2 linked regions of the Tribolium castaneum genome follow. The protein of the gene in region 2 purifies or fractionates together with the protein of the main gene of each other region. This does not show direct contact. Links are inferred from orthologs where the notes say so. Each region holds a gene or a part of one and is shown on either strand. Other genes may lie near its edges.

The links. Proteins that work in one complex are often made in the same cells at the same time.
Region 1: the proteins of EloA (region 2) and Atu purify together in Homo sapiens (affinity purification with mass spectrometry; 3 studies listed by BioGRID and IntAct, with this or other methods). This does not show direct contact. The link is inferred for Tribolium castaneum from reciprocal best matches to the Homo sapiens genes ELOA and LEO1.

Annotation. Positions count from the first base shown.
Region 1 is NC_087398.1:7,669,422-7,675,451, reverse strand, and holds the end of Atu (another transcription unit protein), read right to left. Parts: coding exon 5,634-6,030; intron 3,227-5,633; coding exon 3,075-3,226; intron 3,028-3,074; coding exon 2,659-3,027; intron 2,610-2,658; coding exon 2,394-2,609; intron 968-2,393; coding exon 784-967; intron 737-783; coding exon 621-736; 3' UTR 504-620; downstream 1-503. Other genes in the region: zinc finger protein OZF, read left to right, coding at 1-503. UniProt on the Homo sapiens protein: Component of the PAF1 complex (PAF1C) which has multiple functions during transcription by RNA polymerase II and is implicated in regulation of development and maintenance of embryonic stem cell pluripotency.
Region 2 is NC_087400.1:1,639,842-1,647,331, reverse strand, and holds the end of EloA (transcription elongation factor B polypeptide 3), read right to left. Parts: exon of another isoform or gene 7,413-7,490; intron 7,357-7,412; 5' UTR 7,341-7,356; coding exon 7,251-7,340; intron 7,205-7,250; coding exon 6,356-7,204; intron 4,583-6,355; coding exon 3,973-4,582; intron 1,988-3,972; coding exon 1,773-1,987; 3' UTR 1,381-1,772; downstream 1-1,380. UniProt on the Homo sapiens protein: SIII, also known as elongin, is a general transcription elongation factor that increases the RNA polymerase II transcription elongation past template-encoded arresting sites.

The DNA of each region.
Region 1 (6,030 bases), on a different chromosome or scaffold from region 2:
ACCTGTGCAACGTCTGCGGCAAAGGCTTCGGCCAGTTGTCTTACCTCAAAATCCACTCGTTCATACACACCGGGGAAAAACCGTACAAGTGCCAAATGTGCGACAAAAGCTTCGCAGCGCCGGGAACTCTCATGACCCACATTCGCATCCACACGGGGGAAAGACCGCACGTGTGTAAAATTTGCGGCAAGGATTTCCCACAGTCGGGGTACTTGTCGGCGCATATTCGCACACACACCGGGGAAAAACCGGTCGAGTGCCACGTCTGCCATCGCCGGTTCAACCAAAGCGGCCGTCTGGTCATACACATGAGGATACACAGCGGGGAAAAACCGTTCTCGTGCAACGAATGCGGGAGGAGTTTTGCGGTCAAAGGGACGCTCAAGAAGCACATCAGGACGCATACGGGGGAAAGACCGTATGTGTGCAGTGTGTGCGGACAGGCGTTCGCCCAGAGCGGGACCCTGGCCACGCACATGAAGGTGCACAGGCCCAAGCCGTAATTTTTTGATTTTGTGATTTTTATTTGATCTCGTGAATCTAAATATGCGCAACTGTTAGGTTCAGTATTACTTACACTGTAATCAATCTTTATGTAACACAAATACAGTTTTTGATATTCACTCGCTTTCTTCGCTTGATTCTGAGTCCTTTAACGCCTTCGCCTTGTCAATTTTCCTCGCTCTCCTAGCCTCAATGTCTGACCCTTCCTCATCTGACGAATAGATGGCCCCACCTAAGAAAATATTAGAGCTTTTTGTTGTTCCCTAAGACGTCAACTACCTTTAGCCACTGTGGCAGCCCCCGACTTGTACTTATTTTTAATGGCATTGAGTGAAATAGCCCCCTCTTCATCGCTCCCATCCTCTTCTCTGTACACACTGCTGTTGTGAGACCGCGTCCCACTGTCACCCTTGCGCCGAGGTTTGCTCACGCGTACAGTTTGCCGCAACTTTTCTTCCTCTTTCTACCAACAAAATTCAAAAAAAAAATTAAATAAAAATAATCTGCTAAGAAAGGATAATAATACTACTATAGAACGCTATACCGACCCAGGTATTTAACACTCATTTGCTAAATAAAATATTTGATGTGCTAGACGTGGACTAAAGTTTTTTTTTAAATAAATGGAAAGAACAAACTCATTGACGTATTGCGTAAGGAGTAGTAAAAAGTGTCGCTCTTGCATTGATTAATTTTATTTTAATAATAATAATGAATAAACAATTATTATTTTTACCCATTTACTATTTTTTCATAGCAATACGTTATTAATAATTAACTAATTAATAGTAATTAATTATCGTTGGAAATCTCTTTTAATATTCTATTTATTTCAAAAAAGGTCATTGTTCTCCAATTAATAGTTTTGGAGAAAACTGCAAAAGCAAAAAACAATTACTATTGAAAATTCAGCGATTTGCTAAACGCCAACCGAATTTGGGAATCCCCAGATCATTCTACCTAGGATTACAATAAAATAATTCCCCTTTTCCGAATAGTGTTGCCGCAATCGACATTGAAAGAACGAGTGTGTGAATATTTTAACATGTTTTTAATATTCATCGGTCAATAACTCCATAACTATTACACGTATCCCATCATGTTTATTATCGTTGGAACGCTCTTTTAATAATGTATTTTTCTCAAAAAAGATAATTGCTTTCCGATTAATAGTTTGCGAAAAAATTGCAAAAATTGAAATAAAATTCATAACTCAAAAACTATAAAAAATTTGGCGCTTTTCTCGACGCTAGTCGATTCCCCGGAACAATTTACATAAGTCTGCACTAAAACAGTTTAATTTTTTCCTAAAATTTTGTCGTAATCAACGTTTAAAAGCGAGTGTGTGAATATTTCAACATGTTTTTACATTCATCAAGCAATAACTCAGGAACGAATAGACGGAACCGTATTAAGTTTATTATTGTCGGAAAGCCCTTTTAATAAACTATTTTTTCCAAAAAAGATTATTGTTCTCCAATTAATAGTTCTCTTAAAAATTGCGAACAAATGCAAAAATTGAAAAACAACTTAAAAACTATTGAAAATTTGGCGAATTTCTAAACGCCAATCGATTTCCCACATCATTCTACACAGGTTTATAATAAAATAGTTACACTTTTTCGAATATTCTTGCCGTATTCGGCGTTTGAAGAATGAGTGTGTGAACATTTCAACATGTTTTTGACATTCATCGGACAATAACTCGTCATCCCATTAAATTTATTATCGTTGGAAAGGTCTTTCAATAATCATTTTTCGTCAAAAAAATTATTGTTTTCCGATAAATAAGTTTTCGAGAAATTACTAGATGCTGTCCATGACGGTTTTGTTACTTTTTAATGTACTTAGCGTTTAATTTTTTTCCATTTGCTAATTCGAAAAATCACCTTCAAGAGAAGTTTCCTGTCATGGTCGGGATCAGCTCCGACTTGCGACAAGATTTTAATCCCGGAAGTCTTCTGCGACCTGTCTGCAAGCGACAAGGTCATTTTCCTGTGTGTGAAACTTTCGGTAGAATGTGGCCTGAAGCTCAATTTGGTCCTAAACACAGCCTGGCCTTGGAGACCGGTGCCTTGTCTGATAAACAAGTGATTGTGGTCACCCTGTAAATTATTGTTTTATGAAAAAGTGCAAAAAAATCGAATTATTAACCTGGAGTGGTTGTTTGTAGACGTCAAAAATTTCAGAACCTAAGTGTAAACTGTAGGAACCATCCGACCACCGAACAAGTCTTGCATTTGACTCTTTCTTGACATTGCCCTCTTTATCGACGGCTTCTCGCCACCGTATCGTGTTCTCGACCTTCAACTTCAAGCGAGCGCGTCCTTCTTCATCCAGAGTTTCCTCTTCGTCAATTTCATCTTCGTAAGTTTCGGGATCAAAAGGTCGCGTTTCGACTGAAAGGAAATTGGGGAGTTTGACGAAGTGGATGTCGCGACCCAAGTCGCAACTGATTTTGGGTATTTCGACGTCGATTCGCGTCTCTGGGATTTGTTCCGGTTCGTTTTCCTTATCTTCGTCCTGAAATACAATCATTACTCGACTTTTCGGGGAAATAAATAACTGACTTCGTCTGGTTGTCTCTGCTCATGTTCTTCCTCTGAATGGTGCTGCTCTTCTTCACTGGCTTGTGCCTCTTTCTCTGACTCGGCCTTTTCTTTTTCTTCCTCGCTGCTTATGTCATCCGCGTCGTCTCCAAAAATGGCAGCAGCACTGACCTCTGTGATCACAGTTTTTGTCAAATTTAATACCTTTATTGCATTTATTTAAGACAGAAATATGTATTCGGACAAAGAGGAATTTTAGAGATTTTTCTAATATTAGTACAAAATTAGAACGTAATGATTTCATATTTTCCTATCCACGTAATCTATAAAATGTAATGTTGGTTACTTAAAAAATTTTTTAAGGCTCATTATTACTCGTGGATCACACTGTATAGTTTGTAATGTTGATTTACTTAAAAAGTTTGTGTTAAAATATCTGCAAAACACGGTCAGTGTCTGGGGCCTCGTGGCCCAGTGGTATAAGCGCCACTTACGGCGGGGGAGGTCGGGTGTTCGAACCCGGATCACGGCAACAATTTTTCTGAGAAAAAAAGTGTAGAAAAGGTAAGTGAAACAACACGTAAACAAAAATAAGGGATTGAAAGAACACATAGACGTATAGAAGTAAAGCGGAGCATAAAACTGAGAGAAATAAGAAAATGCGGCAAAAATGTAAAAGTACGTAAAGGCGCCAAATTGTAAACGTACTTTTTGTTTTGAGAGAAAAAGAGACGAACGTAAAGGTAAAATATAACTTCAAACTTTAGTTGACTTATACGCTCGGTATCTTTTGATGGAATTTGATGAAAAATTAGAGAACTAAATTGAAATAAGTGGAAAAAAATGCTTTCTCGAGCTAATTCCCCGACTTTTAACTGAAACTATTTGCGTTTTAGGTAAATTATTGCAATTATAGTTTGTAATGTTGATTTATTTAAAAAGTTTGTATTAAAATATCTGCAAAACACGGTCAGTATCTGGGGCCTCGTGGCCCAGTGGTATAAGCGCCACTTACGGCGGGGGAGGTCGGGTGTTCGAACCCGGATCACGGCAACAATTTTTCTGAGAAAAAAAGTGTAGAAAAGGTAAGTGAAACAACACGTAAACAAAAATGAGAGATTGAGAGAACACATAGACGTATAAACGTAAAGCGGAGCATAAAACTGAGAGAAATAAGAAAATAATGTGGCAAAAATGTAAAAGTACGTAAAGGCGCCAAATTGTAAACGTATTTTTTGTTTTGAGAGAATAAGAGACGAAGGTAAAGGTGAAATATAACTTCAAACTTTAGTTGACTTATACGCTCGGTATCTTTTGATGGAATTTGATGAAAAATTTAGAGAATTAAATTGAAAAAAGTGGAAAAATATGTTTTTTCGAGCTAAATCCCCGACTTTTGAACTGAAAGTATTTGCGTTTTAGGTAAATTATTGCAATTATAGTTTGTAATGTTGATTTATTTAAAAAGTTTGTATTAAAATATCTGCAAAACACGGTCAGTATCTAGGGCCTCGTGGCCCAGTGGTATAAGCGCCACTTTCGACGGGGGAGTCGGGTGTTCGAACCCGGATCACGGCAACAATTTTTCTGAGAAAAAAAGTGTAGAAAAGGTAAGTGAAACAACACATAGACAAAAATGAGAGATTGAGAGAACACATAGACGTATAAACGTAAAACGGAGCATAAAACTGAGAGAAATAAGAAAATAATGCTGCAAAAATGTAAAAGTACGTAAAGGCACCAAATTGTAAACGTACTTTTTGTTTTGAGAGAAAAAGAGACGAACGTAAAGGTGAAATATAACTTCAAACTTTAGTTGAATCCTTAGATGACTTACTTATACACCCGGTATCTTTTGATGGAATCTGGTGAAAAATTAGAGAATTAAATTGAAAAAAGTGAAAAAAAATGCGTTCTCGAGCTAATTTCCCGACTTTTGAACTGAAACTATTTGCGTTTTAGGTGAATTTTTGCAATTATTTAGTTTGTAATGTTGATTTATTTAAAAAGTTTGTATTAAAATATCTGCAAAACACGGTCAGTATCTGGGGCCTCGTGGCCTAGTGGTATAAGCGCCACTTACGGCAGGGGAGGTCGGGTGTTCGAACCCGGATCACGGCAACAATTTTTCTGAGAAAAAAAGTGTAGAAAAGGTAAGTGAAACAACACGTAAACAAAAATAAGAGATTGAGAGAACACATAGACGTATAAACGTAAAACGGAGCATAAAACTGAGAAATAAGAAAATAATGCGGCAAAAATGTAAAAGTACGTAAAGGCGCCACATTGTAAAAGTACTTTTTGTTTTGAGAGAAAAAGAGATGAACGTAAAAGTAAAATATAACTTCAAACTAATTTATGTCTAAAAATTTGTATGTATGTAAAATTTATTAAGTGCACACGAGCGTCTTTCTTGAATTTTCTACTACGACTTTCAATATTACGTCCAATTATTGATAACTAGCAGCTATCCTTTTCATTATTTATGTAGAAATATCTTCTTGAATTATTTTTTTATAGCAATCAAGTAATTATTATTTCGTACACATGACAAAAACTCTAAACCTATGAGGTTATTACCTTTGTCATTTTCCTTTCCTTCTTCTCCCTCACTATCAGAGTCAATAATCCGATGCTTCTTTTTGCTAGTCCTCTCTTCAGAACTGTCCCTTTTCCTCTTATCCCCTTTGCCACTCTCAGGTGACCCAGGCTCGTCAATTTGCAAATTAGGGCTATTAGACCTGCTACGACCTCCCGACTCCGGTCTCTTCTCCTGCGACTGTGATCTAGACCTAGACCTGGACCTCCGCGACCTATTCGATTCTGCACTTTTCGACCTGGACCTATTAGACCCCGCACTCTTCGACCTGGACCTATTCGACCCCGCACTCTTCGACCTGGACCTATTCGAGCCCGCACTCTTCGACCTGGACCTATTCGAGGCCGCACTCCCCGACCTAGACCTCGACTTGCTACT
Region 2 (7,490 bases):
AATTTCAATGAATGAAAGTGGCTTCAAAATTTAATGCGGATAAACATTTTGTTTTTTTTTCGGCCTCATTATTATTATTATTATTATTTAATGCTACAAACGGTAGCCAACGTGGAAGCGATCTGAAGGTAAGGTGTATTTTATTGCTGTGTCGTATCGTATTTATTTCACAAACCAATATTTCCTTAAAATTTAATTGCAATAAAATAACACCGACTCTAAATGCGGTGTTGAAAAGTCATAGTTTGAGTGACTCATTTTAAATTCAGTAACTTAAAGTAAAATAAAACACTCAAATAATTTATTGCCACTTAGTAATTTTGTCTTTAATTTCAATGAATGAAAGTGGCTTCAAAATTTAATGCGGATAAACATTTTTTTTTCGGACTCATTATTATTATTATTATTATTTAATGCTACAAACGGTAGCCAACGTGGAAGCGATCTGAAGGTAAGGTGTATTTTATTGCTGTGTCGTATCGTATTTATTTATTTCACAAACCAATATTTCGTTAAAATTTAATTGCAATAAAATAACACCGACTCTAAATGCGGTGTTGAAAAGTCATAGTTTGAGTGACTCATTTTAAATTCAGTAACTTAAAATAAAATAAAACACTCAAATAATTTATTGCCACTTAGTAATTTTGTCTTTAATTTCAATGAATGAAAGTGGCTTCAAAATTTAATGCGGATAAACATTTTTTTTTTCGGCCTCATTATTATTATTATTATTATTTAATGCTACAAACGGTAGCCAACGTGGAAGCGATAAATAAAGGTAGGTGCATTCTTTGTGTTTGTCTTATGAAGTGTTATATTTAATTGTTTTAATGCCATATATTATAACGTATTGTGTATTCTTTATTTTGTTTAATATTGATATACGTCACTTGTTGTAATTTTCATGCAAATATTTTTTATTGGTGTTGTTTTTATTTTTTTTTAATGCTACAAACGGTATGAAGTGTAATATTTAATTGTTTTAATGCCATATATTATAATGTATTGTGTATTCTTTACTTTGTATAGTATTGATAACAGTGGCTAGTTGTAATTTTCATGTAAAGAAAGATTTTTTATGGTGTTGTTTTTACTTCGCTATGCGAAGTTAGGTTCATTGTATTATTTTTGTGTCGTATTTTTTTTTTCACAAACCAATAATTCCTTTATATTTCCCAATAATCATTGTTTACCTCATCCTTATTTCCTTTTTTCCTGGCGAGAAAGCTCTAAACCTCCACGTGGTTCTTGCTGGACAAATTAGTTATTAATTTGACTAATTAGAGCAATCCTTGAATATTTAGTTTTACCCTGTTGTAAAGTTTTTAATTTTATTTATTTTTTGTAAACTCAAGTGGGGTTATAAATAAAAAACCGTTTCTTACTGGAATTGTTTATTTGCCTGTTCTTTGTAAAAAGAACATTGTGCTCCAAAATCCGTTCCTGATTTTTATTTAATCACCTACTTAATGCCTGCCTTATCTATAAAAATATTTCAACTATTTTAAAACCGTGATTTACATAATTACATTTGCCACCAATAATAATAAAAATAAAACCTCGACGAAATGAAATATACACAATGAAGTAAAATGGAAAAAGATGATACAATATAAATAATTACAATCACATAATGACCTGACAAAAACTGTCAAAAACTTAAACCACGATGAAGTAAAACCAATCACTACCTAAAACACTTGATCAATAAAATAATCTAAAACTTACAGCCAAAATATATCGAATCTGAATCGAACACAGTCTTTCGGTTATCTCTTGAACCTGTTTTTGAACGAACTTATGCTTTTTAACATAAGGGGGGCTTTCTTGGGCTTGGCGTGGGCCGAAGGTCTTTCAACGGCTCGACTTCCGGGGTTTGGAACTGACACTTTTCCGGCCTCGCCTGCCGTTGCCAGAGAACTCAGTTTTGCTGAAGCGGTTTTTCGGACGTCGAAAGCCGTCCCATTTTTTGCTTGTTTGCGAGCTGAAAGATCAAAAAAAATCATAACTCAAAAACTAAAAATCGTAGAGCAATGCGGTTTGTTCCATTGAATTTAGCGGCTCATTTTCCGTATTATACCAACTTTTCATGAGATTTAAAATTTTTAATTTTTTTGCTTAAAATTTCCCTGAGTAAATACACTTACCTTCAAAGAGGTGAAAAAAAATTTTTTTTTAAACTTACTCCAGTAAATTTTTATGGACTTTTACATGTCTTAACAACCCACAAAAGTTGTTAAAAGTCCACAAAAAGTCCATATGTTCGATTTTTTGATGTTTGATTTATTCAATTTTCGTCGCAAATTTTGTCGATTTTGGGTACCCGGAACATTTCTCGAGCAATAGCTCCGGAACTATTAGAGATAACCTCATGAAGTGTATTATCGTTGGAAAGCTCTTCAAATTCTTTATTTTTTTCAAGAAAAATTATTGTTCTCCGACTAATACTTTTCGAGCAAATTGGAGACAAATGCAAAATTTGGTAAAATTTAAAAAAATTCATAACTAAAAAACTATTGGGAATTTGGCAATTTTTTTGATGCCAATCGATTCCCCGGATCATTTTGCATAGGTATGAATCAAAATAGTTCCACTTTTTAGAATAGTTTAGCTGTAAATGAGAAACTAAAAAAAAATTAAAAAAAGTTAAAACCCCCCCTTAGAAATCGGTCAATTTTTAAAGTGTCTCAAAATCAAATAAAACCGATTCTATCTTATAGGCTTTGATGTGCTCTTTCCGATGGAAAAAAGCGTTTTCTCCTAGCTCTTTTAGTTTGGCCGTAATCGGCGTTTGAAAGTTGAAAAATTTTTTGCGAGATATCGCCTTTAGTTCTATGCCATTTTGTAGAGTTTTTTATTCCGGTTATTCTTTATTTTTCCGTTTCTCGATAACTCTAATAGTTTCGCCGTAATTGGCGGTTGAAAGTTGAAAAAAAGTGAAAATGGAAACCTTTTTTTGCGTTTCTCTCGGAAACTGTAAGACTTAAAGCAACGAGCAAAAAACCATCTGATAGCGCTTATTTTTCTCAATTTTTTCGTTCAAACCCGGAGCCGCTCCGGGCAACGGTTCCGGCTACAGAGGCGATCAAAGTTTTTAACTAAAAAAATTCATAAAAAAAAAACTAAAAGTCGTAGAGCAATGCAGTTTGTTCCATTGAATTCTACGGCACATTTCACATAATATATCAATTTTTCACAAGAATAAAAAATTAAAATTTTTTTGCCTAAATTTAGCGTAGCCATTATTTATGGTGGACAATTTTATTGAACAAAAAAATTCATAACTCAAAAACTAAAAGTCGTAGAACAAAACGGTTTGTTCCAGTAAATTCTGCTGCTCAAATTGCTTAAAATACCAGCCTTTTCACAACACTAGCTTACCCGAGAAATTTTTTAAAAAATATTTTAATTTTAAAATTGGTGGATGCGCCGGGTTATATTAAAAAATTCATAACTCAAAAACTAGAAGTCGTAGAGCAACGCGGTTTGTTCCATTGACTTCAGCGGCTCATTTTCTGTATTATACCAACTTTCACGAGGTTTAAAATTTTGAATTTTTTCCTAAAATTTCACATACCTTCAAGAAAGTGAAAATTTTTTTTTTAAAACTCGTATTTTTTTGAAATTGAGATCCCTCTAGAGTAGTTAAAAGTCCACAAAAAGTCCATTTGATCGATTTTTTGATGTTTGATTTTTTCAATTTTCGTCGCAAATTTTGTCGATTTTGGGTACCCGGAACATTTCTCGAGCAATAGCTCCGGAACTATCAGAGAAAACCCCATGAAGTGTATTATCGTTAGAAAGCTCTTTAAATCATCTATTTTTTCAAAAAAAATCACAGTTCTCCGACTAATAGTTTTCGAGAAAATTGCAAATAAAAGCAAAAATTGGCCACATTTTAAAAAATTCATAACTAAAAAACTACTGGCAAGGATTAAAAATAGCCAAGGTAACAGCAGTCACACCAACCTATATTTCTAGGGGGTTTGGCCACCGCATCCACATATGCCAGCTTGGTCATCCTGACCGGAAGCGACTTATCTTGCGCTTGTTTTATATTCGCTGTCAATGCTTTAAGTTTGGCGTCTCTCTCATCCAAACATCTCAGGTACATTTCGCGCCACGTCTCCAACTCCTCTCTCTTTTTATTTCTAAAGTCCTTCTGACAATGCAACTGCCACAACTCGTCTGTGTCTTCGATAAGATACGGGTTATGGTGTTCCATTAAATAAAGTTGATTCGGGTTGGCTTTTTCCAAAATCGGCTTAAGGACGTTGTAAGGAACTCCCCCAGTGTACTCCAGAGCATCGATATTATCCTGAAGGACTCGAATACACAGATCGAACAGCGAGGCCACTTTCCCGCAGCCCATTTTATTGCCAGAATAGACTTTCGTCCTTTGGTTTTTCGAGGTGATAATGCTTGTGAGCGCCTCCGATTCGGACATGAATTTTTTGTGGTGGCTGTCCGAAGGGAGCAAGTTGCCGAGGGGGCGGTAGTTGGGGGTGATTGGAGGCAGTAGGCTTGAAATGTTGAGATCTATGGGGTCCAGGGTCGGTTCTTTAAGGAGTTTGGGGACCTGTGAAGAAGAGGTTCATCTAAACATCACTACGATCATTTAGTTTTATGTGTATATTGCAAAAAAAACTCGTACAAAATCAAAATGAAAAACAACTCTTCTGTTCTTTTTGACCCATAACAAAAAATAAATAAATAATAATAATAAATTGAGACTTCCTCCCAGTTTTTAGAACCCAAAAATAATTCGGATGGATTCCTGGATCTGCAATATCAAAATATTTGGTATAAACAGAACATAAAAAATAAAAAATACGTAATTAATTTTAAATAATAAAAGAGTGTAGGAAAATTCTGAAAAAATTCATGTAGGCACAGAAAAAAATTAAGTATTTAAGCAATAAATTTATAAAAATAGTTTAATTAAATAACGGTTAGCCCAAAGCGAATAAAAAAATACAGACAGATAAAGCACCAAATTTTCAATAATTGGAGATAAAAATAGTGCAAAAATTATATCTTAAACTATATTTAAAAAAATTTCAAAGTTTTACCAATTTGCACTCTGCCCCATATTTTTCAAAACGCTGCGAATACGGTTACAGATACAAGAAAAATGTTCAGAGGAAAGTTGTAGAGAATTAAATTTCCTTTAAAAAAGTCCGCGAGACCATATCCCTATCTTCAACCATTTAGGCCCCAAAGTCATTCAAAGACGCTCAAGCGATGGATTTCCATCATTTTGCCGGTGGTCAAGTATTGGAAAATAAATTTATACCCAAACCGTTGAAGATAGACATATCGTGTCGCGGACTTTTTTGTAGGAAATTTAATTCTCTACAACTTTGTTCCTTACACTTTTTTTGTATCTTCAACCGTATTCGCTGCGTTTGCAAAAAGAACGCAATAATTCTAAGCGATAATTTTTGGGCACCGTCGCCTATTTATCAAAACGCTGCGAATACGGTTAAAGTTACAAAAAATTGAAAGGAACGACGTTGTAGAGAATTAAATTTGCTACAAAAAAGTCCGCGACACCATATTTCTATCTTCAACGGTTTGGCTATAAATTCACTTTCCAATACTTGACCACCGGCAAAATGACGCAAATCAGTCGCTTGAGCATCTTTGAACGTTTTTAGGGCCTAAACCGTTGAAGATAAAAATATGGTCTCGCTGACTTTTTTAAAGGAAATTAAATTCTCTACAACTTTCTTCTGAACATTTTTCTTGTATCTTTAACCGTATTCGCAGCGTTTTGAAAAATACGGACCGGAGCGCAAATTTTAAATCTTAAATAATTTTTTTCTCATGTTTCTCAATAAATTTCAGTCCTCACTTTTTCCCAGTCTGTTGAGAATGCAAAGCTCAACATTTCTGCATTTTTCCCCAGTAATTAGTAAACTGGTTGAATTTAAATTAATTTAAAACGATTTGACACCGAGACGGGATGACGCTCGAGGCGCCCTCATTTTTACACCGCCGTACTACATCTTTGGGAGCGATTTTGTATCTCGTTTCGTCTCCTAACTTATAGTCTTTCGTAGTCAGACCTTGATATTGCAAGATATTCTACTAAAAATTGTCAATAATAATTAATCCAGGAAAAACAAAGAGGAATTTTAAAACTGTTCAGTTTCAGTTATAAGTGTTTGTCACCGAATTAAAATAGTAAAATATTCTCAAACAAGTATCAGATTACGAAAATTACGTCTGTTTCATTCTGATACTGATAACGAAACTTTTAGTCATAAACTAGATAGGTACACATTCCTTACGTTTCTAAAAAGTGTGTTGTTTTTGTCATTTTTTTCAAAAACTTAATAAAAATTACCGTCTGGTCCGTTGACTTTTCCTTCTTCTTCTCCACTTTCTCCACCTTCTCCACTTTCTTCTTCGCACTATTCTTACTCGACGAAGGCTCACACATGCCCAAAGCCTCCGCAAAACTAGCCCCCGATCCCGAATCAATCCCATTAACCAAATTCCCATTCAACTTCTTCGAACTTTTGGTCTTCTTCTCATCACTTTTCTCCCTCTTCTCATCCTTAATCTTCTTATCCTTGCTCTTCCTGTCGTCCTTCTTTGATTTATGTCTACCACTGTCTTTCTTCTCTTCAAAATCGGGGGCCGCAGCTTTGGCTTTCTTCGCCGCCTTGTGTCTTCGTTCTTCGTCACGTTTGCTGCTTTTCTGGCGCTCTTCCTCCTTCTTGGGGCGCTTTCGCGCCGTTTCTTCCTCACTACTCGACTCCTCGCTTTTGCGTTTGTGTGCCTTTTTCTCGTGCCCGTTGTGGCGATGTCTCCGCGACGTTTCGGACCCGTCCGACTTGCTCTTCTTCACTCTTTCCCTATCGTCAGTCCTGTCATTATCACGTTTGTGTTGACTAGAAGGCGTTGATTTTTCCTCATGGCCGTCTTTATCGTCGCTGTCATTCGACGGTTCTTCCCCGCTTTGGTACCCGTCTTCATCCTCGTCGTCCTCATCCTCATCATCGTCCTCCTCCTCCTCCTCCTCCTGCTCCCCCACCACCATTTCCTTCCACTTTGCCACCAGAGACTTGGCGGAGTCGCCGACATCGCCCCCCAGCTTACGCAAGCCGTTCACCGTGCGCCCGACCCCCGTCTGCTCCAAATGCACCACCTTGATGGGCAGCCGGTACAACTTCTCGATGTAGTGCAGCAGCTGAAAGCCCACTTTTAGACACTTGGGGGCGGAAAGCTGGACTTACCTTGCCGTCGTTTCGGTTCTCCGTGTATTTGTCGAGCGACTCCTGACAGTGTCTCACGACACGGAGCAGATTTTCGTGAGATTCGCCCATTTTGAGCAACTTGAGGCTACAAACAGATGGTTACCTGTTACTGCAACCACGGTCCCGCTCGGCATTTATTACGCAAAATGAACGGAAACGAACGATTTTTTCAGGAAATCGCCCAGAATTGCACTCAATTCACGGCCATAACGGGCTTTT